Stegostoma tigrinum: one gene and its partner. The protein of the gene in region 1 binds, or shares a complex with, the protein of each later gene. Links are inferred from orthologs where the notes say so. Each region holds a gene or a part of one and is shown on either strand. Other genes may lie near its edges.

The links.
Region 2: the proteins of signal-transducing adaptor protein 1-like (region 1) and linker for activation of T-cells family member 2-like are in contact, whole or in part, in a crystal structure (PDB 3MAZ), measured with the Homo sapiens proteins. The link is inferred for Stegostoma tigrinum from reciprocal best matches to the Homo sapiens genes STAP1 and LAT2. Residues at the interface, in NP_001304698.1 of Homo sapiens: Arg184, Arg203, Pro204, Gly205, Ser206, Ser212, Ile215, Gln217, Ile219, Lys225, His226, Tyr227, Lys228, Glu239, Leu240, Glu241, Tyr255, Phe256, Glu259, Thr260, Arg261, Asn263, Leu264; in NP_054865.2 of Homo sapiens: Asn134, Ser135, Tyr136, Glu137, Asn138, Val139, Leu140, Ile141, Lys143.

What each region holds. Positions count from the first base shown.
Region 1 is NC_081356.1:16,919,635-16,936,451, reverse strand, and holds the start of signal-transducing adaptor protein 1-like, read right to left. Parts: upstream 7,491-16,817; 5' UTR 7,217-7,490; coding exon 7,106-7,216; intron 1,330-7,105; coding exon 1,258-1,329; intron 1-1,257. UniProt on the Homo sapiens protein: In BCR signaling, appears to function as a docking protein acting downstream of TEC and participates in a positive feedback loop by increasing the activity of TEC.
Region 2 is NC_081380.1:5,370,820-5,387,683, forward strand, and holds the start of linker for activation of T-cells family member 2-like, read left to right. Parts: upstream 1-10,722; 5' UTR 10,723-10,829; coding exon 10,830-10,857; intron 10,858-11,628; exon of another isoform or gene 11,629-11,689; intron 11,690-16,864. UniProt on the Homo sapiens protein: Involved in FCER1 (high affinity immunoglobulin epsilon receptor)-mediated signaling in mast cells.

The DNA of each region.
Region 1 (16,817 bases):
GCAAACAGTTTGCTCATCCAACATTCTGTTTCAGCAGATGTATAGAAAACAAAACCCACTTAAAATAAGCAAGTTGGCATCACAATTAAATAGAATGCAGTGAAAAATGAAATGAATATACTAAGTTTTCATCTGCCATAGTATCCATGGCACAGGCTGGAATTTACCAGCCCTCTACACAGGTTAGGTGCTGGGATTAGGAAGAGCCCTATAAAATTTAGAAAGGACAGCAGTGGGGGTAAAGAAGTGTGATGGGTACAGTGCAAATCATATTCCTGCCACCAGACTACTTTATAAAGTTAAAGTTGTTATTGTTCCACAGCCCATAGAGCTGATAGCTCATTAGAGAGATAGAGAGAGAGAGAGAGAGAGAGAGAGAGAGAGAGAGAGAGAGAGAGAGAGAGAGAGAGAGACAACTGATGGTGGCTTAACCTGATGATCACTACACTTCAAGTGAGGGGAAAAATTGAGAAGGAGTGTCCTTCATGGTGACCTCAGCCAGTGTGGGAACTGAACCTGCCCTACTGACATCACTGCATCACAAACCAGTGTCCACCCAACTGAGCTAACCAGTGGGCCAATTTACCAGCAGAAAAGTTAGAATCCTCTCACCAAGAGGTTAATTCTGCCACTAATGTAGACAATTAAAGGCACGATCTCAACAACTCTGGCATTTTACTAGCAGCATACAGGGCTTCTACCACATGGGGTGCCTTGGTATATCATAAGAAACTACAGAAAGTTGTGAACACAGTCCAGACCATCACACAAAAGCAAGCTTTCCATCCATTGGCTCCATCTACATTTCTCAATATCATGAAAAGATAGCCAACATCATCAAATACCCCTCCCACCCCAGTTATATTCTTTTCTAACCTCCTCCATCAGGCAGTAGATTCAAAACCTTAAACATATATACCAATGGGTTCAAGAACAGCTTTCAAGAACAACTTCTTCCACCTGTTATTGGACTTCTGGGTGGACCTCTCAAATTTGAAATCTAATGCTGATCTTGCTTTATGTACACCTTTGTTGTAGCCTTATCTTTGTATTCACACTCTGTTCAATCACCCTATGATCTTTGTATGTTATGATCTACCTGTACTGCATGCAAAACAAGACTTTTCACTGTACTATTTCTAATGACCGCAATAATCTATGCCTGTGTTAGAATAAGGCAAAATATTGAAGCTAAGACAGTGAATGATCATTTGACCTTTGAAAACCAAAAGATTCCAGAGTAAAGATCTTTCTTACCATTGATTCCTTTTCATCACAATAAAAGAATATTGAAGATCCTCGTAACTCTGACCAGTATCTTTGGAAGGTCTGTTAAATAGATAAGAAAACAAATCATTGGGAGGGGAAGAACAGGCTTCATGTTTTCTCATTATATTTTGTAGAACTGTAGAAATACAAATGGTTACAGCACAATAGGAGGCCATTCAGCCTGTTGAACTCATTCTGCCCTTAATAACAGCAACTAATTTGGTCCTGCTTCTCCTCCCTTTCCTAAATCCCTACACTTTCTCGCCTTCAGATGTTTTCTAATTTTTTTTTGAAAGCCCATGACTGAATCCATCTGTGACCCTTTCAGATACTGCATTCCAAATTGCAATCGTTCACTGCTGTCTTTCCTTAAGTTGTTTCTTTTGTCAAGGAATATCAATCTGTTTTTGTTGATTCTAGACCTCTCTGACAATGGAAACAGATTCTACCTACCCTGACAAGATCATTCATAATTTTTGATGCGTTTGTCAAATCTTCTCTCATATTTCTGTGTTCAGGAAGAGAATACCAGCTCCTTCAAACCATCTTTAAGTATTTCTAACTGTTCTTAACTCTTTTCTGCACCATTTCTAAGGCTTTCACCACAGTCTTAAAGTGGCATGCCCAGAATTGGACATAACAGCCCAGTTGATGCCATACCAGCTTTTTGTGAAAAATCATTAGTCTTTGCTTTTCTACTCTATTTATAAGGCCCAGCTTTTTAAAAAGCATTTTCTTAACCTACCGTCATTTTGTTTTTAAAAACATGTACGTACATTCTGCCAGGTCTTAAGTGCACACTTTGAAATTGTACTCTTTATTTGATACTGCCTCTGATTATTTTTTTTCCCCACAATGCATAACTTCATGTTCTTACCATGTGACCAAACTATTCAACCAGCCTTTTATGTCCTCTCCAAGCCAATCACTAACTACACGTCCTCCCACCCAACCTCCTGCAAAAATTCCATCCCCTGTTCCCAATTCCTCCGCCTCCGCCGCATCTGCTCCCACGATGAGGCATTCCACTCCCGCACATCCCAGACGTCCAAGTTCTTCAAGGACCGCAACTTTCCCCCCAGTGGTCGAAAACGCCCTTGACCGCGTCTCCCGCGTTTCCCGCAACACATCCCTCACACCCCGCCCCCGCCACAACCGCCCAAAGAGGATCCCCCTCGTTCTCACACACCACCCCACCAACCTCCGGATACAACGCATCATCCTCCGACACTTCCACCATCTACAATCTGACCCCACCACCAAAGACATTTTCCCATCCCCACCCCTGTCTGCTTTCCGGAGAGACCACTCTCTCCGTGACTCCCTTGTTCGCTCCACACTGCCCTCCAACCACACCCGGCACCTTCCCCTGCAACCGCAAGAAATGCTACACTTGCCCCCACACCTCCTCCCTCACCCCTATCCCAGGCCCCAAGATGACGTTCCACATTAAGCAGAGGTTCACCTGCACATCTGCCAATGTGGTATACTGCATCCACTATACCCGGTGTGGCTTCCTCTACATTGGGGAAACCAAGCGGAGGCTTGGGGACCGCTTTGCAGAATACCTTCGCTCGGTTCGCAATAAACAACTGCACCTCCCAGTCGCAAACCATTTCAACTCCCCCTCCCATTCTTTAGATGACATGTCCATCATGGGCCTCCTGCAGTGCCACAAAGATGCCACCCGAAGGTTGCAAGAACAGCAACTCATATTCCACTTGGGAACCCTGCAGCCCAATGGTATCAATGTGGACTTCACCAGCTTCAAAATCTCCCCTTCCCCCACCGCATCCCAAAACCAGCCCAGTTCATCCCCTCCCCCCACTGCACCACACAACCAGCCCAGCTCTTCCCCTCCACCCACTGCATCCCAAAACCAGTCCAACCAGTCTCTGCCTCCCTAACCTGTTCTTCCTCTCACCCATCCCTTCCTCCCAGCCCACGCCGCACCTCCATCTCCTACCTACTAACCTCATCCCATCTCCTTGACCTGTCCGTCTTCCCTGGACTGACCTATCCCCTCCCTACCTCCCCAACTATCTTCTTTTCTCTCCATCTTCGGTCCGCCTCCCCCTCTCTCCCTATTTATTCCAGAACCCTCACCCCATCCTCCTCTCTGATGAAGGGTCTAGGCCTGAAATGTCAGCTTCTGTGCTCCTGAGATGCTGCTGGGCCTGCTGTGTTCATCCAGCCTCACATTTTATTATCTTGGATTCTCCAGCATCTGTAGTTCCTATTATCACTAACCCCCTCAGTTCACTTTACCATATTTCGAAGGTTTATGTCATCTCCAGTTTTGAAATTGTGTTTTGTACACCCAAATCTGGGCCATTAATGAACATCAAGAGAAGCAGTAGTCCTAATACGAATCCTGGAGAACCTCATTGTATACTTTCCTCCAGTCTGAAAATTAACCATTCACCATTACTGTCTGTTTTTTTGTAAAGTTCTCACCTTTATCATAGATGGTGCTCAAGCATTAGCCATCTTGGAGACTGAACTAGTTGCATTCTAAGTAAATCATGGATTAAGGGGGCTTCATTTTTATAGAAGGAAACTCAATAAACTTTTGCAAATATCCTATGACAACTGCGTTGTCTATAATCTTGTTTCTTATTTGAAATTATCTACAATTTGCTAATGAGGTTTCTTCAACTCATTATATTTTAAAAACCAAAAGAACTGCAGATGTTGTAAATCAGGAACAAAAACAAAGTTGCTGGAAAATCTCAGCAGGTCTGGCAGCACCAGTGAAGAAAAAAAAATCAGAGTTAACGTTTTGGGTCCGGTGACGCTTCTTAAGAACTGAGGAACCGAAACGTTAACTCTGATCTTCCCTTCACAGATGCTGCCAGACCTGCTGAGCTTTTCCAGCAACTTTGTTTTTGTCACCATATTTTAAGTTTGTTCTTTATTTAGCATTTATTCAATTTCAAAATTATCATTCTTCTACTTGCCTCCAAAGTGCTTAGGACTGTGGGTCAACACAGTCACAGAAGACCAGTTCCTTTAAACTGTGCTATTTATATAAGTGTACGTCTTTTGTTGTGCATTCGGTATTAATCTGGTACCAGGCACTCGATGGTGGTTGAGAACCGCGTGTTCCTCAACAATAACAATAAGTTATGTTCACACAGTGGGTTTTAATGTATAAGAAGTGCTTCATAAGAGTATTATAAAGCAAAATCTGACACCGAGCCACGAAAGGAAATATTAAGATGAATCACTGATTGCTTAGAAAAAGAACTAGGTTTTAAGAAATGTATTAAATGAGAGAGAGAGAGAGAGAGAGAGAGATGAAGAGGGAAAGAGTTTACGGAGGCACTTCCAGAATCTGGCTTAGGCTGTTGTAGGCACAGCCACCAACCATTCACCAATCAAAATTATGGGCGCATAAGAAGCCAAACTTTGGCCGAAATCGTTCAGTTGGGAGAACGTTAGACTGAAGACCTAAAGGCTCCCGGTTCAATATCCGGTTTCAGCAAAATAAGAAGTTTCTTTCCGCATCAGCACTCATTTGAAGGGGCCTCTTGTGGCGCAGTGGTAGTATTCCTAACGAGAGACTCAGGTTTAAGTCTCACCTTGTGTAGCAACACGTTGATTAGGGGAGAAATCGTTTTTTTTCTAAAAAAAATGCCAAACAGTTTTCCTGTGGTGGCTCCTACAGATAGGTGGAGTAATGCCTTCGTGGGATTTGGAAGCAAAGATGAGAATTTTAAAAGTGTAGAGCTGGATGAACACAGCATGCTGCTTGGCCTGCTGTGTTCATGCAGCTCTGCACTTTTGTTATCTCCAGCATCTGCAGTTCCCATTATCTCTGACAATTTTAAAACATCTCTGACAGTCAGGAGTTTCTGAGCTCGGCTCACAAGATGCTCCGGAATAGCGACTCCAAGGTTTTGTTGTCGTAAATCTACGGGTAGAATCTTACCACCATTGACGACTCCGTGTTTGGGTACAAAAACATGCCTCAGTGCTGTTAGTGCTGTCTGCATGATCTTACCAGAGGCAAACAATTAAGAGGCCATATCTGTGAACGCTATCCAATTAAAAATGGTGAGTGGGATAAGCACCCAGTTAGTAGCGAGTTTTGAGAAGATTTGTAGCTCAGGTTGAGGTTCCGGATGTGAGTTTGCTCGCTGAGCTGGAAGGTTAGTTTTCAGACGTTTCGTCACCATTCTAGGTAACATCATCAGTGAGCCTCCGGTGAAGCGCTGGTGTTACGTCCCACTTTCTATTTATCTGTTTCGGTTTCCTTGGGTTGGTGATATCATTTCCTGCGTTGGTGATTCAATAGAAAGCAGGTCCACTGTCAGGTGGACCCCAGTGGACTTCAGACTGATCACCCAACAACAGTAATTCAATGTTTACTCCTGGATACACCTTCAAGCTTGCTTTCATGTGACCAGGAGTATTTCACCCTATGGGTTTTTAAAAAGAGATTTTGGTCCCATTTATCAAGGTTTTGTTAAAGAATAAACGTCTGCATTTCCAGTTAATCTGCTTTAACTGCAAATACAGACTGTTATTGCTTAAAAAAAACCTTGATAAATGGGACGAAAATCCTTTTCTTTTCAGGCAGATCTTTTTCCCCTCCAGCAGCAGCTTTGCAAAGAAATTGTCCTGCAAGAGCAAAATGAGCTTGCGACAGAGAAGATAACAAAATGTGAAGCTGGATGAACACAGCAGGTCAAGCAGCATCTCAGGAGCACAAAAGCTAGGCAAAAGGGCCTAGACCCTTCATCAGAGAGCTACAGTGAAGATCCAGGTTGTCCCAAGGATCTTGTGGAAAACCGGCATTATACAAGACCACTGGCAACTTGAAATTGGGTCTTTTGTTTGACCTCCTAGTTTGAAACCCTCGAGGCAGCAAGGTGAGTGGAAATTATAGAAAGGAATTTTACAAATATACGTAGAAATTGCTGACATTGCTTGTGATACAAAACTCAGCACCCTATACCTTGAAACGCAGCCAGTGCTATCTATTTAATCTCCCTTGTTCCTGCTGGTCACATCGAATGCTGGTGTTCAAACCCCTCAGACGAAGCACAGGTCTTTGACCTACGGAGTTCCCATTTTGTTGCACCTTTTAACTAATAAATGCTAATTTCTAAAACTTGAGTTAATAAATAGTGGGCGACTTTACCTGAGGCTTAATTGAAAGAAAATACTGGATTTCAAACAGTACTTTTGTCACCGCTCCACCTCCCGCTGAGTTGACCAGCAGGAAATGTAGAAGTATTTCATTACCACGGGCTTCACAGTTGCCAGTTTAAGTTTGTGAAATTACTAACAGTTCAAGTTCACAAATGAAATGATAAATATAAAAAGCAGTGCATGTTGGTAATAATGAACCCTTTCTCCAGTTATATTGCAAAGCTGCTGGAGACAAAATAATAGGGTACTTGAAGCAGGAAACCTCAACGTTTTGAACACGAAGTGCCATAATTTTCAAGGCTACTACTCTAGTATGGGGAAGTGGGATTAGTGTAGGTAATGGCATATTTTTATCAGTACAGGCATGATGGGCCAAAGGGCCTCTTCCATAGCGAAGAATTCTATTTTCTACATTTAAGTAATTCATAACAGTAATTTTTTAAATAGCAATATTTATCCCGGTATGTTCTCACTAAACTTTGCCACTTCTCAAACAGCTTTCATCCTTTAATTTTCTTCAGAAAATCTTGAAGCCGTCAGGTAGGAAACTTTCCAATAACTAGACTTTCAAAGGAGTACTTTAACACTTTCTACAGCGCTGCCGTTCCTTCAGAATTATCGACGTTTAAAACGAACGTAATGTAAGTCTGCAGAGAGATACGCGGATGTCACCTACCTTATCCTTCGAGCTTTTTTTCCATAGAACCCCATCGTAATACAAAGGCAGAGAGGTAATCTTCTCCCGTCTTTGAAAGACTTGCCTCAAGTTTGTCCTGGAAGCTGCCATTTCTGTGTTTAAAAAACGTGATTACTCTTATCTATTAACGATGAGATGAAGCAATAAGTGTCCACGCACGCTTACAGCTTGGAGCGGCTGTGCCGTTGGACTGTTCCACTTCTAATCGATGTAATAGCCAGAGGGAGAGAACCGAAAGAACAGGACCCAGTGAGAACATTACCCGAGTCATTCTCATATATTTGCTATAGACTGGAATCCAGCAGGAATGAGGAAATTATTCAACGAGGAAAGTAGATTATCAAGTGTACGTGACATAGAAGAGATATATTCCTCTACCAGGCAAGAGCGTCTAACAGAGGGAGGGAAAGTTGCCTGCGGTACTGATTATTTTAATGTAGGTTGGTTTAAGGATGTAAAACAAAAGCAGAAATTTTTGGCGAAACCACCAGGTCTGTCAGCATCTGTAGAGAAGAAACCAGTTAACGTTTCGCATCCAGAAACTCTTCAGAACGTTCCAGCAATTTTTTAAAGACCTTCAGCATCTGAAGTTCTTTGTTTTATGTTATTGAATCACAATATAGATGTGTTGGAGGCGATTCTGAAAGGGTTTACCAGACGTAACACATGGAATGGGGCAGCCGGGACAATCTTGTCTTTTCTTAGCTGGAGTTTAGAGGAAGGCTGTGAATTTCCTCAGTAATTTCTATTTTAGTTTCAGATCTTCAGCATCCACAGTTCGTTTATTTTTTTTTGAGGTCTTAACAGGTCACTTGATTGAAACACAAATCTTGAGGGGTCTTCACAGGATGGATGCGTGGAGGTGTGTTCTTTTATAGGTGAATCTGGAACACAGCCACTTTTTAAAAAAAAATTCAAGGATTGCCCTCGAGAACAAGGATTTTGTGACTTTCGTTCTGAGGTTGAACAGTCTTTGGTACAGTCTTCCTGAACGGGCACGGGAAGCAGAATCCTTGATTTTTTTTAAAGGTAGAGTTAGATGGATTCTTATTAAGCAAGAAGTTGAAAGGTTATCGGGTAGACGTGAATGCAAATTTAATTTTACAATCATATCAACCATAATCTTATTGAATGGTGGAGCAGGCGTAAAGGGCTGAATCGCCTACCCTTGCTCCTGATTTTATGTTGTTGGTAAGTGCCAAGAAAAGTAAAAACACACCAGACGGAAGAGCACGGAACTTTTAGGGTCCTTGGAGGCATGTCTATTGGAAAATAGCCAAAACACCTATGAAAAAGGAATAGTAAACTTCAGTCATGTACAAAGAAAGAGTCAGTGATAATCTTTATTAAGAAAAGATTTTATAGGACTATGCTGATACATATGCATTGTTTCAAATGCCACAATTACAAACTTAAGCTCTTAAAAAACATAAACACATGCAAAACACAGACATAAGACCATCAACATAGAACAGTCGGTTTTACACTAACTCCCCTGGAAATTTCCCCTGGAAACTCCCATGGACACACTAAAGAAAATATACTGTATTGTGAGTAAAGTTTTCTTTAAACCTTATTTCTTTGAACATCTTAAAAAGTTTGAGTGTGGATTTAAACATTGTGTATAAATATAAAGTAGAATAATGATGATATGATATATTCTGTGATACTGTAATCATTCCTATAAAGTAATCCAGAATTGGTTCTTACAAGATAATAAAGTGTGGAGCTGAATGAACACAGCAGGCCAAGCAGCATTTTAGGAGCACAAAAGCTGATGTTTCGGGCCTAGACCTTTCACCTTTTCTGATGGAGGGCCTAGGCCCGAAACGTCAGCTTTTGTGCTCCTACGATGCTGCTTGGCCTTGCTGTGTTCATCCAGCTCCACACTTTCTTATCTCGGATTCTTCAGCATCTGCAGTTCCCATTATCTTTGGATCTTACAATATATGTTTTAAAACTCTTATTTAAGAAGTTGTAATTTCAAATTTAATTCCTCTTAAACACATCTCAATAAGAATATTTTAAATCCCTAAATTATGATTCTAAGTTGCTGATATTGTTAACCTTGAAAAACAATGTTCCTGTTTCAATACACCAGAGATATATTCTACCACAAGATAATTTTGTTGATTTGAAAACTCCAGAGGGGAGGATATTTCATTACAAGACCCAATCTGAAGCTGATAGAGCTGTCTAAATTCCTTCAATAATCTGAAGTTTTTCCTAGTTGATGTTTTAAACTGATGGTTTAACTGGGTAGGTTTACCTAAGGGTGAGGGTGGGGTGGTGGAGATTAATAATTAATTCATCTCTCTTTTGGCATTGATTCAAAGTCTTTCTTTGGAGCTGAGCACTTATTGGTTCTTGCGATATTGCTCCACACTGATAAGGCAGCATTTATCACCTGCCCTGAGTTGCCTTGAGGTCATTTACAAGTTCATCACTCAGTATGGGTCTGAAGCCACATGTAGATTTGTTTGGCCTCCCTTCCCTAATGGCATTTGTGAATTGAATGTTTTTTTAAATGACAACACAAACACATTTTTGTTATTTTCATTTGTGTTTATTCTCAAATCACCATAATGATTTCAATTACATAATGACCAGCACCATAATCACTAACAACAATTATGTAGTTGGGAGTATTAACACCTTTTCCAATCATTCATTTGTATCTTCAGAGGTGATCTGACTGTTGCTTTTAAGAAGTTACCACATGGATATTTCTTGCCTGGGCTCATCAAGATGTGACCAAGAAGTCCCAATACAATGTAACCAAGCAGTGCACTGAGCAACACTCTTCAATAACATAATTATATTCAAAGTCTGATTATTTTCAATTAGAAATTTTCCTTTGCATCAAACAAATGTTTTCTTATATTAAGAGTAAAATCATATCCTCTTGTGTGACCATCAGCTAGTTTTTATAAGTGGCACTGTAAGAAATTAAGTGTAGAGAACCAATTTTTTTAAATTCACTCATATGATGTGGATGTCGCTGGTTGGTTTAGTATTTATTGCCCATTCCCTGTTGCACTTAAGAGGTAATGGGAACTGCAGATGCTGGAAATTCCAAGATAATAAAATGTGAGGCTGGATGAACACAGCAGGCCAAGCAGCATCTCAGGAGCACAAAAGCTGACGTTTCGGGCCTAGACCCTTCATCAGAGAGGGGGATGGGGGGAGGGAACTGGAATAAATAGGGAGAGAGGGGGAGGCGGACCGAAGATGGAGAGTAAAGAAGATAGGTGGAGAGGGTGTAGGTGGGGAGGTAGGGAGGGGATAGGTCAGTCCAGGGAAGACGGACAGGTCAAAGAGGTGGGATGAGGTTAGTAGGTAGCTGGGGGTGCGGCTTGGGGTGGGAGGAAGGGATGGGTGAGAGGAAGAACCGGTTAGGGAGGCAGAGACAGGTTGGACTGGTTTTGGGATGCAGTGGGTGGGGGGGGAAGAGCTGGGCTGGTTGTGTGGTGCAGTGGGGGGAGGGGATGAACTGGGCTGGTTCATCCCCTCCCCCCACTGCACCACACAACCAGCCCAGCTCTTTCCCCCCCCCACCCACTGCATCCCAAAACCAGTCCAACCTGTCTCTGCCTCCCTAACCGGTTCTTCCTCTCACCCATCCCTTCCTCCCACCCCAAGCCGCACCCCCAGCTACCTACTAACCTCATCCCACCTCTTTGACCTGTCCGTCTTCCCTGGACTGACCTATCCCCTCCCTACCTCCCCACCTACACCCTCTCCACCTATCTTCTTTACTCTCCATCTTCGGTCCGCCTCCCCCTCTCTCCCTATTTATTCCAGTTCCCTCCCCCCATCCCCCTCTTTGATGAAGGGTCTAGGCCCGAAACATCAGCTTTTGTGCTCCTGAGATGCTGCTTGGCCTGCTGTGTTCATCCAGCCTCACATTTTATTATCTTGCACTTAAGAGGTGTTGAGTTGCCCACTTGAACCACTGCAGTCGACATGCTATATGTTGACTCACAATGCCCTTAAAGAGGGAATTCCAGGAATTTGACCCTGTGACAGTAAAGGAGCAGCAATATATTTCCAAGTCAGGATCGTGAGAGACTTGGAGGGGAACTTACAAGTGGTGATGTTCCCATGTATATGCTGGCTTTGTCCTTCTAGACAGAAGTGGTCATGGGTTTGGAAAATGTTCTCTCTGAATCTTCAGTTAATTTCTGCAGTGCATCTTGTAGATAGTATACACTGCTGCTACTGAACGTTGGTGCTGGAGGGAGTGGATGCTTCTGGATGTGGTGCCAATCAAGCAGCCTACTTTGTCTGGACAGTGACAAGCCTCTTGAGTTTTATTGGAGCTATACCTATTCAGGCAAGTTGGGAGCATTCCATCACACTCCTGACTTGTGTCTTGTAGATTGAGAACAGGCCTTGGGGAGTCAGTAGATGAGTTAATCACTGCAGTATTCCTAGCCTCTGACTTGCTTCTGTAGCCACTCTATTTAGGTGGTAAGTCCAGCTGAGTCTCTGGTCAATGGTAAACCCATTGACGTAACCCTAAGGATGTTAATATTGGGGAATTAGTGATGGTAACATCATTGAATATGAAGGGCAGTGATTAGATTGTCTCTTATTGGAGATGGTCTTTGCCTGGCATTTGTATGGCATGAATATTACTAATCACTTAGCAGCCCGAGCTTGGATATTGTCCAAATCTTGGTGCATTTGAGCATTAACTACTTCAGTATCTGAGGAGTCTAGAATGGTGCTGAACATTATGAAATTCAGTGATCATCCCTACTTCTGACTTTATGAATGGCGGAAAACAAATGAAGATGGTTGGGTGTCGGACACTACAGTGAGGAACGCTTGCAGAGATGTCCTGGGGCTGAGATGACTGACCTCTAACAAACATTATCATATTCCAATGTGCCAAGTATGACTCCAACCAGCAGACAGTTTGCTTCCTGATACCCAAAAATTCTGCTTTTTGCTAGGAGTCCTTGATGCCAGACTTAGTTGAATGCAGCCTTGATGTCAAGGCTGTCCTCCCACCCCACCTCTGGAATTCAACACTTCTGTCTTATGTTTAAACTAAGGCTGAAATGAGGTCAGGGGTTGAGTAGCCCTTGCAGAACACAAACTAAACATAACTAAGAAGGTTAGTGCTGCTTGGTAGGACTGTTGATGACATCTTCCATCACTTTACTGATGATTGAGAGGAGACTGATGGGGCAGTAATTGGCCAGGTTGGATATGACCTGCTTTTTATGGTCTGGACTTCCTTGGGCAATTTTCTACGTTGTTGGGTAGCTACCAGTGTTGTAACTATACTGGAGGAGCTTGGCTACAGGAGCTGCAAGTACTGGAGCACAACTCTACAGTACTATTGTCAGAATGATGTCAGGGCCAATAAACTTGCAGTATCCAGTGCCTCCAACCATTTCTTGATATCACATGGAGTGAATCAAATTGCCAAAGCCTGGAATCTGTGATGCTGGGGACCACTGGTAGAGCTTGAGACGGATCATCCACTTGGCACTCCTTGCTGAAGATTGCTGAAAATACTTCAGCCTTATCTTTTGCACTGATGTGCTGGGCTCCCCCATGAGTTCATTAATTGTCCACCACTATTCACAGCTGGAGGTGGCAGGACTGCAGATCTTAGATCTGATCCATTCGTTGTGGGATAATTTAGCTCTGTCTATCACTTGCAGCCTATGCTGTTTGGTATGCAAGTAGTCCTGTTTGGTAGCTTCATTGGGTCGACACCTCATTTTTTTAGGTATGCCTGGTGCTGCTCCTAGTATGCCCTCCCACAATCTCCATGGGACCAAGTTTGATTGCCTGACTTGATGGAAATGGTTGAGTGGAAGTTATACTGGATTATGAGGTTGCAGATTGTAATGGAGTACAATTCTGCAGCTGTTGTTCACTCACAATGTCTTGTGAATGCCAATTTAAGTTGCTAGATCTGTTCAAAACCTGTTGCATTTAGCACGGTGATAGAGCCACACAACATGATGAGGGCTATTCTCACAAAGGTGGGACTTCATCTTCACAAGGCCTAATCTAATAAATGAGGAGAACTGATAACCACTCAGCCCTATGAAATCTCTGAAAGCTACCAGAACAACATCTCTCTTGTTCCAACATTTAGAACTTTCTTGAGTCACACATTGTGACAATAAAACAATGATAAATTATTTGTGTCCAATGGAACATGATCAAATGGATCACCTTGTTATCTGGCACCAAAGGATTAAATATACTCATTAACTACGTGTAAATTTCCATGATTTTAAAAGTTAGATTTGATTGTGATTAGATTATACAGGGCATTTTGCAATTTGTCTTTGCTTCTATGGCATTAGCCTTGGCTCATTTGGTAATACGTCTGTCCTTGGTTCAGAGGTGCTTTTTTCAACTTGTGGGTTGTGACTTCAGCATGAATCCAGCTTCTCATTCCAAATCGATAGAGTGCTGCACTGTCAGAAAGATCATGCTTTGGAGGAGACATTCAGTTGAGATTCTCTGGTCCTTTTATACAGACATTAGACATCCACATCATTATTTTGAAGAAGAATTAAGAAGTTTCTCTGGTGTTCTTATTTATCTCTCAAATGCTATCACTTAAACCTGTGATCTGGGCTAATACTTTTTTGTTTGTGGAACCGTGCTGTGAATGAATTAGCTCCAATATTTCCTCATATTACAAATGCTACAAGTGTGCTTCAGCAGCTGTAAAGCACTGAGATAAATGGTGATATAAACATGCATGTCTTTTTAATTTAATCACTGATACATTACAATTCCATAAAATGAAGAGTTTTTCCAGAGTATTCCATGTTTCTATGGTAATATGTGAAATGCAATATGCTCTAAAATTATTACAATTCATGGGCATGTAGACATTGAGGACACTTTTGAACGTTCCAGTTAGCATTAGGCTTACTGGTTGGAAATTCTTTAAGCTGCTGAATGTTTGAGAGCTGAGATCCAGTCATTTTTCCTAAGCCATATGTATTAACGTTCTTACTTTGGTTATACCTTCATCCTGAATTGAACTTCAGTCATGAGAATCAATTGCACTGTGGCAGAACAGATGAGATGTTAAACCAAAGCTCTGCTTCCCCTCTCAAGTATAAATGAAAGATCCTGTGGTTGTAATCAAAGAAAAGAGCAAGGGAATTCACCTCGTAATCTATTCAACATTTATTCCTTAATGAATGTCTAAAACAAACCATTTGGTCAAGATTACAGTTTTGTTTGGGATTTTTATTTTTGTGGTCATTTTGGATGCTGCATTTCCCAAGTTATAACAATGACTACATTTCAGAAATGTTTCATTGTAATGTTCTAAGGACAGGAAAGACACCTCATAAATGAAAGTTTTTTTCTTTCTTTCTCAATTGGTAATTCGGTGTTCTTCTCAGGCAGTCCCTGGAGACCGGGGACAACTTTCTTTTGGTCCAGGTCAATGAAGTGATTTTGGTTTTCAGATGAAGATAAAGTAGGTTTAACCATTGCCCATTAGGTATTTAGACTATTCTGGCTATTCTAAATTTACTGAAGATGAGATGTAATACTGCAGTGAGGAAAATGGTGAAAATAATTAGTGCAATTTCACAGCTTTGTTTAACTCCAATTTTCACTGTGATAGGGTATGTGGTAATTCCGTTGTTGGGCATCATGACATGTATGTTATCATGAGGCAGGTGGAGGATGGCGACAATTTCAGACAGCAGAAAAAAATGTAAAAAGCTAAACAGAGCATTCTGGTGCCATTCCTGGATTTGAATTTTCTGCACAGTGACAACCATGTTTGTTGCCTCATGATGGTCAAAAACTGCATTGTGACTCTGGAAGGAGTTCTTTGCCAACTCCTGGCAGGCTGTACATCCTCATATCCCCCACATGAAAAGAAGAGCGAATGCTGGTGATCTCACGGATGTTGTGATCGTGATTATGTTCAAAAAGTCTGATTGTTGTAACAACAGAGGATTTGCCCTGCTGTCTGCCACAGGGAAGATAATTGCAACGACACTCCTCAACCACCTCCTCCTACTTAAGACCATAAGACATAGGAGTGGAAGTAAGGCCATTTGGCCCATCAGCCATGATTTAAATGGCGGAGTGGACTTGATGGGCCGAATGGCCTTACTTCCACTCCTATGTCTTATGGTCTTAAGTAGGAGGACACGGTTGAGGAGTGTCTTTGCAATTATCTTCCCTGTGGCAGAGAGCAGGGCAAATCCTCTGTTGTTACAACAATCAGACTTTTTGAATATAATCACGATCACAACATCCATGAGATCACCAGCATTCGCTCTTCTTCTCAGGTGAGGGATATGAGGATGTGCAGCCTGCCAGAAGTGCATCTATAACATGTTTGAGAATTTCAGCAGGGCTTCCATCTGCTATTGGGCTTTTGTTATTTTACAGATATCAAATAGCTTTTATAACATACCAGCTTGAAGCAGTAGACATCCAGCCATCAAGAACTAAATTGCACAGACTAGTTGGCACAGATCTTCAAATTAAAAAAAAATTAGATAACTAACATACTTCACTGCAACAGGAAACAGCTTAACAAGACCCTTTATATCTTACACAAAGAACGTCTTTGCTGAGTGGAAATGCATGTTGAGGACTCGGTCTTCTGAAGAAAGTAAATGAAGCTCTGGATCAGAACAATAGGTCAAATTTCCATCAAGAATTTCCTCAGCTCTGTCTGAGACTTGGTAAGCTTAGAAATGACTATCATATTACATTGCTTCAAGACACAAAGCTACGTCTAGAGTCTCTCATTGCTGTTGTACGTGAAAGATGAATTGACTTAAATGTTCCACAGTTGTGTTAAATCATAGAGCCAAGATATTTGAGGGTTTGTGATAGCTCCCAGACGAAATAGTGTGCTCATGTTTTGCATGAACCTGATAAAATCAAATAATGCAGTCCAGAGGGAAATGCATCCTAGGTACCCTTCTGCCAGGTGTCAATACTGTTAACAATGTTCATTATAGTTTTGAAGTGATTCTCCTTTAACTGTATTCCCTTTGGTACATCATTAGATACAGAGATATGCCGGTGAACCATATTGAAAGTTTCTGCAAGATAAAAAGAACTGTCAACAAGAGAGAAAAGCATATTTGATCTCAACCTTATAAATCTGCCGGCTGCAGTTGCATCTGTCCATGAGACTATTAGTAAGAGGGACCATCGCACAGTCCTTGTGGAGATAAAGTCCCGTCTTCACATTGAGAATAAATTCCATCATATTGTGCGGCATTATAACTGAGCTAAATGGGACAGACTTCACACAGATCTAGCAACTCATCCATAAGGTGCTGTGGGCCATCAACAGCAGCAGAATTGTATTCCAGCACAATCTATACCCTCATGGCCTGGTTTATCTGCCACTCAACCATTACCATCAAGCCAGGGGATCAACCCTGGTTCGATAGAGAGTGCAGGAGGGCATGCCACAAGCAGCACCAGGTATACCTGAAGATGAGGTGTCAACCTGGTGAAGCCACCAAACAGGCCTACTTGCATGCCAAACAGCAAAAGCAGCAAGTGATACAGCTAAGTGATCTCACGACTAACGGATCAAAGCTAAGCTCTGCAGTCCTGCCACATCCAGTTGTGAATGGTAGTGGACAATTAAACAACTCACTGGAGGAGGATCTCCACAAATATTCCCATCCTCAATGATAGAAGAGCC
Region 2 (16,864 bases), on another chromosome or scaffold:
GAATGCAATGATTAACATTTCTCTACACCCTGTGTGACAAGGACACATTTGGTATAGGCCCAACAACATACAAAAATTTACTGTCCTGATGTCCTGCTCCTTTGGATTGAACCCAGTGATGTACCTTTGGAACTGCCACTTCCAGAGCTTCTTTTTCTGGATTTGGTGTCCCTCAGCATTTTCAAATTTCTATGGCAATGGCAATGTCTCAAAGGAATTGCCATCACCAATCAATTACTGCATTTTGGTAAGTACTTCAATGTTTTTACTCTTTTCATAATCTCAGAATAAAGGGTTCTACATTTAACACACAGTTGGGGAGACATTTCTTCTTTCAGAGAATCTGTGGAATTAGCGAGTTTTGAGAAGATTTGTAGCTCAGGTTGAGTTTCTGGATGTGAGTTTGCTCGCTGAGCTGGAAGGTTAGCTTTCAGACGTTTTGTCACTATTCTAGGTAACATCATCAGTGAGCCTCCGATGAAGCGCTGGTGTTATGTCCCGCTTTCTATTTATCTGTTTAGGTTTCCTTGGGTTGGTGATGTCATTTCCTGCATTGGTGATGTCATTTCCTGTTCTTTTCTCAGAGGATGGTAGATTGGCTCCAAATCAATGTGTTTGTTGATGGAGTTCCGGTTGGAGTGCCATGCCTCTAGGAATTCTCGTGTGTGACTCTGTTTGGCTTGCCCTAGGATGGATGTGTTGTCCCAATCAAAGTGGTGTCCTTCCTCATCTGTATGTAAGGATACTAGTGATAGTGGGTCATGTCGTTTTGTGGCTAGTTGATGTTCATGTATCCTGGTGGCTAGCTTTCTGCCTGTTTGTCCAATGTAGTGTTTGTCACAGTTTTTGCAAAGTATTTTGTAGATGGCATTTGTTTTGCTTGTTGTCTGTATAGGGTCTTTTAAGTTCATTAGCTGCTGTTTTAGAGTGTTGGTGTGTTTGTGGGCTGCCCTGATGCCAAGAGGTCCGAGTAGTCTGGCAGTCATTTCAGAAATGTCTTTGATGTAGGGGAGAGTGCTTATGGTTTCTGGGCCCGTTTTGTCTGTCTCTTTTGGTTTGTTGCAGAGAAATCGGCGAACTGTGTTCATTGGGTACCTGTTCTTTTTGAATACGCTGTATAGGTGATTTTCCTCTGCTCTGCGTAGTTCCTCTGTGCTGCAGTGTGTGGTGGCTCGTTGGAATAATGTTCTAATGCAGCTTCGTTTGTGGGTGTTGGGATGGTTGCTCCTGTAGTTCAGTATTTGGTCCGTATGTGTTGTTTTCCTGTAGACGCTGGTTTGAAGTTCCCCATTGGCTGTTCGCTCTACTGTGACATCTAGGAATGGCAGTTTATTGTTGTTCTCCTCCTCTTTTGTGAATGTTATGCCAGTAAGGGTATTATTGATGGTCTTGAAGGTTTCTCTAATTTGTTTTGTTTAGTGATGACAAAGGTGTCATCCACGTGGCAGACCCAAAGTTTAGGTTGGATGGTCGGCAGAGCTGTTTGTTCGAGTCTCTGCATTACTGCCTCTGCTAAGAACCCTGATATCGGAGATCCCGTGGGTGTACCGTTGGTTTGTCTGTAGGTTTTGTTATTGAAAGTGAAGTGGGTGGTAAGGCATAGGTCCACTAGCTTGATGATATGTCCTTGCTGATGAGGTTGGTGGTGTCGGCTGTATGTGTCTTTGGTTCTTCTAATAGTGTCGTCAGTGTTTCTTTGGCCAGGTTGATGTTGATGGATGTGAACAGGGCTGTTAACATGACTCCTGTGTATCTCTGGGCTGACAGTGTTTACACAAACACATTTTGAAACTGCTGCCTTTATCTACATTACAATCCCTTTGCTGTCTAGCTTCACTTGTTCACACTTATCTTGGAGTAAGGCTCTCTCTCACTTTCTTTAGTTTTGTAACACCATTACATTAATATAATTACAGATTACTGAATACAGCTCCCTAACGTTTGCAACATCTCTCATCTATTCTCATCTCTGCTGTCTGACAGTAAAATAACAAGTTATGATCATCATCATTTGATATTTCATTATACTAAGCCAGAAGCTCTGGGTTCTAGGGCACACAGTGGCTCAAGGGCAGTACTGCTGCCTCACTGTGCCAGGGATCCAGGTTCAAGCTACCTTCTGGTAATTGTCTGTATAGAATTTGCACGTTGTCCCCGTGTCTACATGGGTTTCCTCCATGTGCTCTGGTTTCCACCCACAGTCCAAAGATGGTTAGGTGGATTGGCCAAGCTAAGTTGCCCCATTGTGTCCAGAGATATGTAGATTAGGTGAGTTAGTCATGGCAATAATGCAGGGGAATTTGCTCTGTGTGGAACGCTGTTTGGACTTGATGGGCCAAATGGTCTGCTTCAACTCTGTGGGGATTCTATGATTCTATCCCACCCAGGATTTGACAGCCAAGGAGGGGATGATCAGTAACAATGAGAAAAAAGATTGATTGTCAACCTACTGATCCTTCCCACAATGTCAGTAGCAGGTAGTCTGAATGTGAGAAATTCGTGGACGAACATGTGATAGAAAGAAATGCAATGACATGCATGTAAAAACAGAATTATGCGACAGAAACTTGGTCTCCAGTGTGAACTGCAACACACCAGATCTCTAGTTATTTTACAGAGTATTCTGATCCTTCAGTCATGTGGACTGCCTGAGAACTCATATGAATCAACCACAGACTTCTTATATTTGGTGTAGAAAGGCAAATATTCAGCTGATGTCCCTTTCAACAGGTCTTTCAGTTAGATAATGAATTAGAGGAATTTTTTAAAAAATATAACGAACTTGTTAAGAATTTTCTTTGGAGACTGCATTGCTTTCTGTTTTGGAATTTTCTTAGGATAGATTAACTGAAATAAATGTTGTCTACCCACACTATTAATTTATGCAAGTACACCCACTCCAATCATTCATTCACTGCTGAGTGATTGAAGTCTTTGAACTGAATGCGTCATTTAAAGATATGGTATAAATGCATGTTTACTTGAGCTGTGGTGAAGCTGGAAAATACTGACATATTGGTTAATCAGTTGTTTTAAATTTAGCATTGTAAACAAGTGGCCTTTCCATTAGATGGTTATATGGTATGTTTTTGAAATTCTATAAAGGAGAAAGGTTGCTGAACTATATTTAGAAATGTGACTTTTATGTAATGATTAAATCTGTGATATTGTTTTTTGAGCTGTAGAAGGTGTGTATTTTGTATATTATTGTGGTAATGTGTCATCTTTGTACCCCTTATTGCTTGAAGTAAACATACTATGCCGTGTTATCATGCTATGTGAAAATTTTCATACTCCCAGAGGCTGTTTCTCATGTGGACAATGGGTTGTGCAAGTTATTTACTGATAAGAGCTTTATAACTAAAAGCTCTTTACCTAATGGACTTCTCAACCAAGAGGCAGTTAACTATGGGAGCAAGCTCTTTAAGGCAATTCATGGGACAACTGATCACTTATACAGTCAAACTGGCTAAATGTCTGACCAGGTTTGGTGTCCCTGTCTTGGACTACAGAGTCTGGGGTAAGTGCCATCTGTTCTAGACATTATGATGTGTCTAATCAGGTGGATTTAAAATATTTTTAGGGGTAAACAATTGGATATCCTGTGGAATGTAGAGGCAGGCATTTCTGATTTACTGCTTTCTAGATGTTCTGGGGTAGAGGAACAAAGAGATCTCAGATCACAAATACACCAATCACCAAAAGTTATGCCACAGGTTAGCAAGGCTATACATAAGAAAACTAAGCATTAGGATTTATTTTTCAGAGTATAGAATTGAAAAGCGGGGAAGTTATACTAAATTAGTATTAAGCTTTGGTTAGATGATACTTAAGGGTGTTGCATACTGTTCTAGTTACCACATTATAAAAAAGAATATTGAGGCATTGGAGAAGATGCAGGGAAGATTCCATTGCAAATTCAAAGAAAACCTCTTTACTGAAAGTGTGGTGAGAATGTGGAAATCGCTACCATAGGGATAATCAAAGTGAATAGTGCGGGTTGATTTTGGAGAAGGTTAAACAAACAAAGGAGGGATAAGGAATCGGGGGATGTGCCAGTGGATTATATGAGGAAAGACAGGGGGAAGATCCCGTCCATCATAAAAGCTGAGATCGATGCAAATATCGATGACTGGAGGTTGAATGTTTGCATGGTGAATATATACTAGGCTGATACAAGGTATGGAGAGACTGGTTATGAGGACAGATTGAATGGATTGGATGTGTACTCTTTGTAATGTAGAAGATTACAAGTAACATGCAAGATTCTAAGGGAATTTGTAGGCTAGATGCCAAAAGGTTGTTGCCCATTGAGAGAGTGTAGGACGAGAGGGCTTGATCTCAGAAAATGAAGTCAAATATTTAAGACAGAGGTGAGAGGGAATCTCTTCTGTTAGAGGGTTGTGCGTCTCTGGAATTCTTTACTGCAGAGGGCTGTTGAGGCTAGGTCATTAGTATATTCAAAGCTGAGATAGAAGATTTTTAATCAATAAGGGATTGACAGGTTATGGGGAAAAGGCAGGAATGTGGAGCTCAGGATTATAAGATCATCTGTGATTTCATTGATTGACAAAGTAGACTTGATGGCCAAAATGGTCTACTTCTGCTCCTAAGTCTTACAACAGGCTGTGCTTCTACATAACCTGAACTGGTGTCGCTTTCTGCTGAGCCTAAGACTATTATGTTGGATTTTTTTTCCAAAACTGTGCTGCATTTCTAACTAAATCAGCTGGGAATATAGCGCATTCTATTCAATGATGATGGAATATTCTTTGGAAATGTAAGGACTGATGAGGGATTGTCAACATGGCATGGTGCGTGGGAAATCGTGCCTCATGAATTTGATTGAGTTTTTTGAAGAAGTGTCAAAGAAGATTAATGAAGGCAGAGTAGTGGAGGTTGTCCAAATAACTTCAGCAAGCCATTCAACAAGGTTCCACATGGTAGATTGGTTACTAAGGTTAAATCACATGGAATCCAGAGAGAGCTAGCCACTTGGATACAGAATTGACTTGAAGGTAGGAGACAGAGAGTGATGGTGGAGGTTTGTTTTTTGGACTGGAGGCCTATTGAAGCTGCTGAATGTGGTGCCAATCGAGTGGACTGCTTTATCCTGAATGGTGTCAAGCTTTGTGAGTGTTATTGAAGCTGCACTCAGCCAGGCAAGTGGAGAGTATTTTGTCACACTTCTTTCAGGGTTTAGATATTTCAGGTGAGAAAGCAGGGGATGTAAAATGGGCAGAGGACTTGCATTACTGATTAAGGGGAATACGTTGGGTATTTTCAGCACTTTCTGTTGCCACATTCTAAAATAAGCTATGCTAATCATCATTCAACTCATAATATGGCCCACTGTCCACTTAAGAGCCCATATTAATCCTTGCAATTTGTCTAATTTACTCGTGTGAAAATGGGGTTTCCTTGGAGTTGCAGTGACTCCGATGATGATTTTCTGGGTAAAGGAAGTTTGGAAACTGTCCCTGTCTGGTAGTTTTAATAATATAACGCCTGACCCAGTCACGGCTAGTTAATGTCAGTAATGGTAAATTGAGAGGCAGACCCCTTACGTGGTCAGGATTCTATCCATAGGGATTCAACTTCACAATGGTTTGGTGTCAGTTCAGTTGATCAGTTAATGACAGGCTTTTTAACTTGGGAAAGTGCTCTGCCTCTAATCAAAGAAATAATTCACACTTAACATCAGAAACAAAGGAATGAATACAGTTGTAAATTTCTGAGTTAGTTTGGTTTGGAGTTTATTAAACATGACTCCATTTGTAGAAAAGGAGCTTCATGTTCTCACAAACTTGCCGAGATATTTGCACCAGTGACAGCCACAAATGAAGTGCTGAAAAATGTGGTGTTATTATTGAAGAAAGGTGGTAAGGAAAAGCCAGGGAACTACAGACTGGTGACCCTGGCTTCTATGGTGGAAAAGTTGTTGGAGGAGAATTCTGATGGACATATATTTAGAAAGGCAAATACTGAAAAGGGATAGTCCACATGGCTTTGTGCATGGAAAATCATGTCTCACTAACTTGATTGAGTTTTTTGAAGAAGTGATGAAGATTAATGAAGGCAGAGCAGCAGACATTGTCTATATGGACTTCGGCAAGGTATTCAACAAGGTTCTGCATGGTAGACTAGTTAGCAAGGTTAGATCGCATGCAATCCAGAGAGAGTTGGATATTTGGATACAAAATTGACTTAAAAGTAGGAGACAGAGAGTGATGGTAGGGGTTTGTTTTTCAGACTGGAGGCTTGTGACCAGCGGTGTGCCACAAGGATCAGTGCTGAGTCCACATCTTTTTGTCATTTTATATAAATAATTTGGATGTGAATATGGGAGGAATGGTTAGTAAGTTTGCAGATGACACCAAATAGGAGGTGTAGTGGACAGTGAAGAAGGTTACCTCAGGTGGAACTGAATTCTGAGGAATGGTCACCGGGCCCGAAATGTTAACTCTGTTTTCTCCTTCACAGATGCTGGCAAACTTGCTGAGCTTTTCCAGCAACTTTGTTTTTGTTGTTGTATAACTATGATGTTGGCTGGAGGATAAATATTTGTTAAGACACCAAACCCCTCTACTCTGAATTTGTATCGTGGCATGTTTCATACAAACAAACTTGTTTAACATTCCATTGAAAAAGACAGTGCTTCCAACAGTGCAGTGTGCCTACACTACTGTACTGGAATGTCAGCGAGATTTTCTGCTCCAGTCCTTCAAGTGAGGTTTGAATTCACAACTATCTGACTCAGAGGCAAAAGCACTACATAAATAATCAAGGCCATGGCATTAAAGTCATCAAACTTGCTGTGAAAAAGATACATTTGTCATGGACTTTGATGTAAACTTGAACTTTCAGATTCTTGTTTTGGAATCTATAAGGTTTCAGTGGTGTTGATATCAACAGCTCTTTCAGTGTGGCACTTCCTGTCCAGTTGGACATTTTCTCTAGAACCTCAAATGAACTCTGCATGCTGAGTGCCGGTTTATGGAACACAAACTAGTTTTAAAATGGTGCAAAGAAAATTTAAGCTGGAAGTCTCTGAATTTCTAGTAAACAATCTTTTGTGAATGTAAATCTGAATATAAGATTGGGGCAGTGAGCCAGACCAGTCTTTATTCTTGAACTAAAATAATAATCCAATGTTTTCTTTAAATTGCAGATTGTTTTGATATTTCCATTCAACTAAGTTCTAGGAGACCAAGTGTAGAAAACATGAGTGCTGAAAATAAAAAGCAACTTGCATCTGAAGAGATAAGTTGGGCCCATTTATTAGAGTTTCCACAGTGTATTACCTTGCTGTATGCTTGTAAAAAGGGAGACAGATGAACTGCCGTCATTTATTGATCAACCAGATACAAACTCCATCTTTCCATCGTAATTTCCATTGTTTATTTTAACCTAGCAGAGTAATGGGTGACCTAATTGTGGTGATTAAGGGATTTGAAAGGAAGGTTATTTCCCCCTGGTGGAGAAGCCCAGAACAGTAGGTCATAATGTTAAAATTAGATTTGGGGATGAATGCTTAGAAGCACTTCTTTATACAAAGGATAATGGAAGTTTGGAACTGTCTTCCCCAAAATCCTCTTGATGCAAGGAAATCATTTAGGCATTTCAAAACAGAGAATGATAAGCCAAAAGAGATAGTAGGAACTGCCGAGGCTGGAGAATATGAGATAACACAGTGTGAAGCTGGATGAACACAGCACGCCAAGCAGCATCAGAGGAGCAGGAAAGCTTGACGTTTCAGGTCACACTGTGTTATCTATGATAAGCCAAAAGTTTTGTTCCAAAATTTTGGTGGGTACATTAATTTTTCCTACACTTAAACATGTAATTAAACCATTGTCTAATTGGTAGAATGTGCTTAAGGACCTGCTCCTTTTTTTAGGGTAACAAAAATAGGATGGATTTGTGAAGAGAGATCTCGCGGTTCAGTGGGTAACATCTCTATCGCAGGAGCAGAAGCTCTGGTTTCAGTCCCACTCCAGGATTCATAACCAAGAAAGGTGTATTCAAAATGTGGCCAAACAGTTTCAGTACTAACTTGTAAATCCATCCAACACCAATGGCAGGTGATCAGAGTGGAAGAGATTCCTGGTCAGCCTTGTGAATGGATAGAGATCTTCCACCACGTTACAACAGGGAGACAGACAGCCGAACTAAATATCTCTGAATTCACAACACTGTAGAACTAAAACCTTCGAAGACCCCTAATAGTTATTTCAGTAGTTCCTAACTAGATTTTTGAATAATCAATCTCAGACTTTAGGTATAATTAATTTCAGATACCAGTTCTACATTTTAAACAAAAGACGCAACAATTTATTATATAACTTCAGCAGAGAAAATGTAAAACAAGGTAGTCTATGCCTATGCTTTAAATTTTAATATTAAGTTAAAGATTAATATGCTTTAATCCCAAAACATTTGTTTTCAGCCCCCATTCACACAAAATTCAGACAAATGAACATGGTTAAGAGGATAACTAAAAGAACATCACAAAACTGGCCAAATTACTTAAATGGCTTCACAATGTGTTTTTTCACAGGCATAGATGTAAATTCCTTTGCTGCTTTTTTGGAGACATCAATCAGGGTCATGTTTTCAGTTCACTCAGGTAAAGACAGTGAAATTTCTAACTCAGCTTTTTACTTTTTGGGCTCCTGAAAACCGTGAAGGGAAGTTTGGAATGGAGTTTTCAAATCTTCATGCTGTGTCATCAACAGCCACCCTTAGAGTCATACAGCTCTGAAACAGACCCTTCAGTTCAACCAGTCCATGCTGACTGTAATCCCAAACTAAACTAGTCCCACCTGCCCATTGCTTGACATATATCCCGCCATACCTTTCTTATTCTTGTACTTATATAAATGTGTTTTAAACACTCTAACTGTGCCTGCATCCACCACTTCCTCTGGACGTTCATTCTGTACACGAATCACTCAGTATAAAAAAAATTGCCCCCATGTCTTTTTTAAATCTTTCTTCTCTGACCTTAAAAATAAGCCCCCAGTCTTGAAAACACCCACCATAGGGATAAGACACCCACCATTCACCCTACCTCTATCCCTTATGATTTTAAAAACCTTTACAAGGTCACCCCTCAACGTCTTACACTCTGGTGAAAATCTCTCAGCCTATCCAACCTCTCGTTATAACTTAAACCCTCCTCTTCCAGCAACATGCTAACAAATTTTTTCTGATCCCTCTCCAGCTTGATAAATTCCTACCTATAAGAGGATGACCAGAACTGGACACAGTGCTCCAGAAGAGGCCTCACCATTGTCCTGTACAACCTCAACATAATGTCCCAAATCCTGTATTCAAAGGTCAGAGCAATGAGGGCAAGCATGCTAAGTGCCTTCTTAACCATGCTGTCTACATGTGAGAGATAATGGGAACTGCAGATACTGGAGAATCCAAGATAATAAAGTGTGAAGCTGGATGAACACAGCAGGCCAAGCAGCATCTCAGGAGCACAAAAGCTGATGTTTCGGGCCTAGACCCTTCATCAGAGAGGATGCAAACTTCAAAGAACTATGTCCCTGTACCCTTAAGTCTCTCTGTTCTATAGCACCTCCCAAAGGCCTACTTTAATTGTATAAATCCTGCTCTTGTTTGTTTTACCAAATGCAATAGCTTGCATTTGTTCAAATTAAACTCCATCTGCCACTCTTCAGCCCATTGACCCAATTGATCAAGATTTCTTTGTAACCTTAGATTACCTTCTTTATTGTCCACTGTACCATCAATTTTTCTTCCAGAAAACACACTTCAACTCTGGTCCCACCCTGATAAACTGATTGTCTTTTCCTGGCACCTCAATTACATTCAGTATCTGATACCAGCTTGAATATCTCTTCCAGTCTTGCTGGAACCCATCCCATTAATAGCAAAAGTTGGTTATCTGTTCAAACACAATGCTCTTTCCAGGTTGCTGTGACTATTTGAACCCCTTAAGTAAAGAACAAACCTGCGATTAGGCTCCAGGCCTGGCCTTACAAACAAAAACTTTTTTGACCTCTTTTCCTTTTACCACAAGCTGTTTCCCAAAGCCCACAGGGCATATTCAGCTCCCAATTCCCAGTTCAGGGCTCCAAGCAAAAATTGACAACGGAATAAAAATAATGAAAAACCAGTGAGGGTTCTAACAACCATCACTGCCTGTAGCTTCAGGCTAAAATATGCAAACGAAAATGTATGCAACACTGACTCCCCTGGGAGGAAAGGGTGTGGATCAGATTGTTCTAATAGCACATGCTTCAACGCCTTTTCTGGTTGGGGACCTGCCTCCTTGCCCCAAGCACGGTGTGGAGATTGTGGCACCCAGAGTCAGACTTGATTGGGGCAAAGTTTAAGTAATTCTGAAATGCTTTCTGCCCAACCCACACTCCTGCCATTGGTCATCCTATTTATTCATCTGAACCATAGGTCTAACCTCCATGGTTAACTGGAAACAAACAGACTGTTAAGTGACCCCCCCCCAACAAGGATGATGACTGACTGCCTCCAGCCTCCCCCACTTTCAGTATATATTTTTATATCAGTAGGGGAAAGAATGTAAAAAAAACACCATGTGCGGCAGATGAATCCCTGGAGACTCCTGGCGGGTTGGTACCCCCAGATCAGTGTCAGTTATGGTTCACGCCTAACCAAGGAGAAGGGCTCGGTTCGATGACTGACTGAGTGTCAAAGCACAGCGGGCGGATGTGGTGCAAGATTCCTGTTAAACAGCGGAAACGGTAGCTCGAACCGTTTATTAGTTTGCCCTTCAGATTAAGCCTGACATCCCCAGCTCGGAGACAAGATGAAAGCCCATGAAAGGAGCCCCTGAGATTGCAGCCGGTAAGGACCCACCTCCTGAGCCAGGGAGCTGCTCTCTTTCCGTCTCCAGTTCCTGAAAACATCTAACTGTACTTGCAGCAATCTTCTGCAGCGCAAGTTACTGCATCTAATAGTTACTAAAATGGCTATTAATTTCAATGAAAAATATATATTCGATCTCGGGTGACTTTTAATTAAGGTAGTCTTTAATGTAGAAACCAGATCAGTAAAGTAAGTAATTCACAATTTGAAACATTATGCGTGTCTGTGAGAACATATACTGTATAATGTCTGTCCAAAGGACTACACTCTGCAACTTTCTAATTGCACTGGCCGAGCGTGCGATTGCGACGAACTGTCCAATCCGCCAAGATCCGAATTAAAGTGAATTCGATTCGGATCCCAATCCTAATTGCGGTTGTCTTTGGAAAGGGATGCTTCAATGGCCAGTGTGTCTGTTTATCTTTAACCTGATTCCTATATACTCAGGAAACTGCCTAGGAAGAACATTTCCAGTAACACTATACGGGAGGTGCGATTTCAGGGCAAGCGACGATCGAATCTAGCTATGAAATGTGTAGATGAACTTAAACACAGACCCAGAGAGGCAGGCCAACGGAATCGTGATCAGCTGTTGCAAACCCCTTTATATTTTTTTTAAAGCACGAAGTTTCCAAGGTTCTCAGCGAATATTTTCTGAGTTGCTACCTTTTCTGGTGTTCGCTGCATAACTTAAGAACAGATCCGGACTGACTGCAGTTCAAACAGCGATAGAAGGAGCTGTATGTTAAACTCAGTCATTGTCTTCTTGAAGGTCTTCCTGGCGTCCGTAGAGCTCGGCAGAGCCAGCAAGGTAGAAATACTTCTTTAAAAAAATTGTCTAGGGACATTGAGAAATTATATTTTGATGCTGCATCAGGGTTTTGGCTTCATGTGGAAGTTGAGGACCAGTCTCCCACTGATTCAGATCTTTTGAAATCACCTTTAAACATTTTAGAAACAGTTTTTGAAAATGGTCATTTAGAAGTTGCACCTTGTTTGCAATTCACAGCCATCTCAAATGCATCATATAATAGCCATTTAGCATCTGTGCACTCTCTCGTTTTTTGACCACAAGTCTCATTTCTGCTACTTTTGACTTATTTTAAAAACAAAGTCTTTGGGATGTGGGCATCACTGGAAAAGCCAGCATTCATTGCCCATTCATAGAAGCTCTGGAACTGAGTGACTTGCTGCACTATTTCAGAGAACAGTCAGCCTCGTTACTGCTGTGGATTTGGATTTGCCCGTAGGCCAACCTGGGTAAAAATGGCAGATTTCCATCTCTAAAGTGGTGAATCAGATGCTACTTGATCACTAATATAACAAGGCACGGAGCTGGCTGAACACAGCAGGCCAAGCAGCATCAGAGGAGCAGGAAGGCTGGTGTTTTGGGCCTAGACCCTTCTTCTTGATCACTGATAGTTTCAAGGTCAGCTTCAGTGATTCTAAATTTTATGAATTGAATTTTAAATTCCACCAGCTGGCATGGTGGGATTTCAGCTTGCATCCCCAGAGTATTAGGCTGGGCCTCAAGATTACTCACCCACTGGCATTACCTCTATACCCCCCCGTCTACCCCACAAGGAAAAGTAATTCTAATTAGCAAAGTCAAACTGCAAAGGATAGGAACAGGCGGAGGACCATTCTGTTCCTTATTTTGTTCTATCATTCAATTACATAATTAACCTTTTATTCCCAGATGTCCTTCCGTAACACAAATAAACATTGGAAACATTGCACTCTCGCTTCTTAAATATTGCTTATATTGTCCCAGTTAAGTCCTTAGGAGTCTCAAGCACAGCTTCAAGTCTCACCATCTCCCCAGCACCCTTCTCAGACTGTTATCACCGCACATTGATAATGGCTTGGAGGTCATCCCCCTGGCTAGCATTTGTGCTGTGGGAATGGATAAGTTTCCCAAGAACTAAATTCCTGTAAATGAAATGAAAGAAATATGCAAGGCTTCAGATTTTCAAAGATGGCTCTCAACGTGGGTGGCATGGAAAACCAGTGTTTATAGCCCAGATCCTATGCATCATTAATATATTGAATCACTTGTGTTGGGCAAGAACGAAGTCAGATATCAAGCAGACCAGGTAAGGGTAACTGGTTTCTAAGCAATGTGAAAGGGGAGAAAATGGAATTATAGACCAGTTAGTCTGACATCCGTTGTTGAGGAAGTAACCTGAGTCTGTATTTAAGATTAGGATGACAAGCTGATTGATGTGATGGACAGTGCACTGTCTATGGAATAATGAATCAGGATTTGCAAGAGGCATTTGATAAATTTCCTCACAGAGACTGAAGAGCGGAAGTTAAAACTCCCAGAACTGAAGGAAAATTATTGAGCTACTTGGGAATTTGCCTGAGCTATGGGAAACAGTAGAGGCAATGAAGTAGTCAGTGTCAATGGCAGGATGTGACTTGTGGTGTCCCACAAGGATCTGTGCTGTGAACTTTTCGCTGTTTATTAATGACTCTGTTAATGGATTACAGAGCCACAAATTTCTGTTTGCTAATGAGAAGGAATTAAGGGACGTTGTAAACCGTGGAAGTAGAAGCATAATGTATGTATAATTTTAATAATGTATGTATAATCTTAAAACAATGTCAAAACTGTGGCAAATGGATTTAAATGTTGGTAAGTGTAAAGTTATTCACATTGGACCTAAAATGGAATATTTGTGAATGGTGAAAAGCTGGGTACGTTGGACATCCGAAGGGACCTGGGGCCCAAGATCATTAAAATGTTGTGAATGCTTTGAGAAAATAATCAAGAAAGGTTAATAGAATGCTGATCTTTATATCTAGAGAATGAGTATTTGAGACAATAGCATCATGTTTCTCTGATTAGGCCACATCTGGAGTACTGAAAGCAGCTCTGGACACCATAGTTTAGGATTGATATATCTGTTTTGGTCCACAGGTAGTACAGATTTACTCAATGATATTTGAACCCCAAGTGTTAAATTATGATTTAATATTTTCTAAACTGTTGGGAATTTAGGTTAATTGACAATATGATCAACATTTTCCAACATTAAGGGGAACAGATAAAATCAGTACTTCTGCTCGGCAAACAGTTGAGGACCTGGTATCTCACTCCTGTTCCTTCTTCCTTCCCTGAAAGATATTATTGAACAATTTGGATATTGACAGTGACTTTTAAATCTTCACGGTCCATTGTTAATGCCATTAATAAATTATTGGTGTATTTGAATTCGATTCTGCCGTTTCACATATTAGTCTTTAAATTTGGAACTTCAGTATTGTTTGAGTAGCAAGAGGCTCCTGTACTCTAATTGCTTCAGGAAAGAATGGAACGTCAGTATTTCTGTTGTATTTTGTTATTGCTGTCAGAAATGTTGCTGAGTTTAGAAACGAGAATAGAATAATCCAGAGACCCAGATAGAATTCTGGGGACCCGGGTTCAAATCCCACCTCGGCAGATGCAGGATTTGAATTCAATAAATATCTGGAATTAAGAATCTAATGGTGATCATGAGCTGATATCCTCACCTGGTCTGGACTACATGTGACTCCAGACCCACAGCAATGTGGTTGACTTTGAACAGCCCTTTGCAATTAGGAATGGGAAATAAATGCTGCCTGGTCAGCGACGCCCTCATTCCGTTAATTAATAAAGAAAAAAAATTACCTTGGTGCTGTTGGGAACAGGACAGGATTTCGATAGCTTGTGTTGCCAAACCTTTCTCACCCCTTGTCTCATGCCACCCTCCACGCTGCAGTTGATAGTGCCCTGCATTTATTCTGTTTATCCTTCTGCAGTGCTTGTTGGGTTAGTAGCTTCCTTCGTAAATTGGGAGTAAAGATAACTGTATGGTTGGGTGTCATTTCTTGTTATGCCCTTCTAAAGATAAGTGGTTAAAGTGATAATGAAGATTACTTCCAATGAAGTGTTAATGAAAGAGATAATGTAGAATAACAAGCTACCATTTTTCCAAAGCTCTCACCATGAGGCAGACTCATTGGTTCTCCCTTACTATTCAAGAGGGAAGTATTATGTAGGGGAAAGTGGAGTAAGGTATGAAGAAGTCTAAATGTAATTCCTATCATAAATTAGTTTGAAGTTTGCTTACTCATAGCAATTTTTTGTTTTGTATGGCAAGCTGCCAAAATGCAACAGTGAGTGAAGTTACACTGGAGTACAACAATTGTTAGATTATAAAAAATCACAGCCCATCTAGTTTTCTGTCTATCATTCTGATAATAGAGTTGTTGACTACTACAGCAGTTGTTCTCAATCAGTTAGTCTGCAGAAGATTCAGATATAATCTGAAGAGGCTCTCAGTGGGGAAGAATTGTAGAAATCTATTTTCTCCAAACAAATTTTGGGGTAGCCAATGGTGTAGTGTTACTATCACTAGAATATTAATCCAATGTTCTGAGGACCTGGGTTGGAATCCCGCCATGGCACATGGTAGAATTGGAATTCAACAATAACCTGGAGTTAAAAATCTAATGATGACCATGAATCTATTGTCGTTTGTCAGCAAAAACCCCATCTGGTTTAGGGAAGGAAATCTGCCATCCTTACTGATCTGACCTATGTGTGACTCCAGACCCACAGCAATGTGGTTGACTCTTAACTATCCTCTGGGCAATTAAGGATGGGCAATAAATGTTGGTCCAGCCAGTGATACCCAAATCCCATGAATGAATTAAGAAAAAGAAATTGCACCCGACCGCATGACACTGCTTGATTTGTTTATGGCCATGGCATGTGTTCAAGAATAAACCAAACCATATTTTAAAATCATTAACATTTTGTTTCAGGAAGTTTAGTGGTACTGTAGGCTTAATAAAAACACACCATTCCATAGCAGAAAGGGCAAGATCTGAAACCCTGTGCGCTAATGGGACTGGAGCAACAAATCAAAATTGTGCACAGCACCACTGCTCCCTGGTGAGCTGAGATATATTTTTGTGAAACTTCAATTTTTTCAGTTTGTTGGAGAGATTAGAGAATCATTATGACAGAGACATGGAGTCAATAGAGGAATTCACAGTTGTGACTGTGTTGATAGTGAATAGGAAGAAACTGTTTCCAACAGCAGGAAGGTCAGATACTAGAAGGCACGGATTTAAGATCATTAACAACAGTACCAGCTGGCAGATAGAGGAATTTCTTTTAGATGGAGAGTTGCTGTGGTCAGGAATACACTGCTTGAAAGTGCAGTGGAAAGTGTTTCAGTCATAACTTACAAAAGGGAGTTGGATCTATACTTGAAACGGAGCAATTTGCAAGGCTATGGGGAATAAGCAGGGGATTGAATAGCTCTTTTAAAGGATTGACACAGACACAAAAAACTGAACGCCTGTGTGCTGTACTGTATCGTGCTTTTGAACTGTAGATTATGTAAGTCAAGTGACTGGGTTAGAGCTATTCACGGATCCAACATCCACAACCTGTTGGGAAAGAGTTCTGGGTTTCTTCAACCCTTTATCTGGAATAAAAGTACTCCCTGATTTCACTTGACACCTAGTTGTGATTTTAGATATTTTCTAATCATTCTCTTTAGAGATGTTATTATGCACTTCTGCAGCAGATGGGATTTGAAACTGGCCGAGAGGTTGCTTGTAAGGTTGTGCACCCCCTTGATATGCGGGAGATTAATGTCACGGTGTACAGAGCCCAATCAGAGAACGGGGTTGTGCATGATTTGGTGTTGTATTTTTCTCAAAGTCATCAATAACTCAAAATATTCTCTGACTTTCACAAGGGCAAACCATCTGGCACTGTAATAATGCTTAAAGATTTGTATGGCTCCTTCTTTAAGATATAATTTTAGTTATAGTGTGCAGAGTGAGCTGTTAGAAGGACAATACAGTAAAACGTGGAAATGGTGGTTCTGGTCCAAGCTTGTCTTATATACCTTAATATGGGATTCCAGTTCAGCTCTGTCCAGTGACTAATAGTTCCCAGATATTTATTGAGTTTACATCCGGATCAGTAAATGTGAGT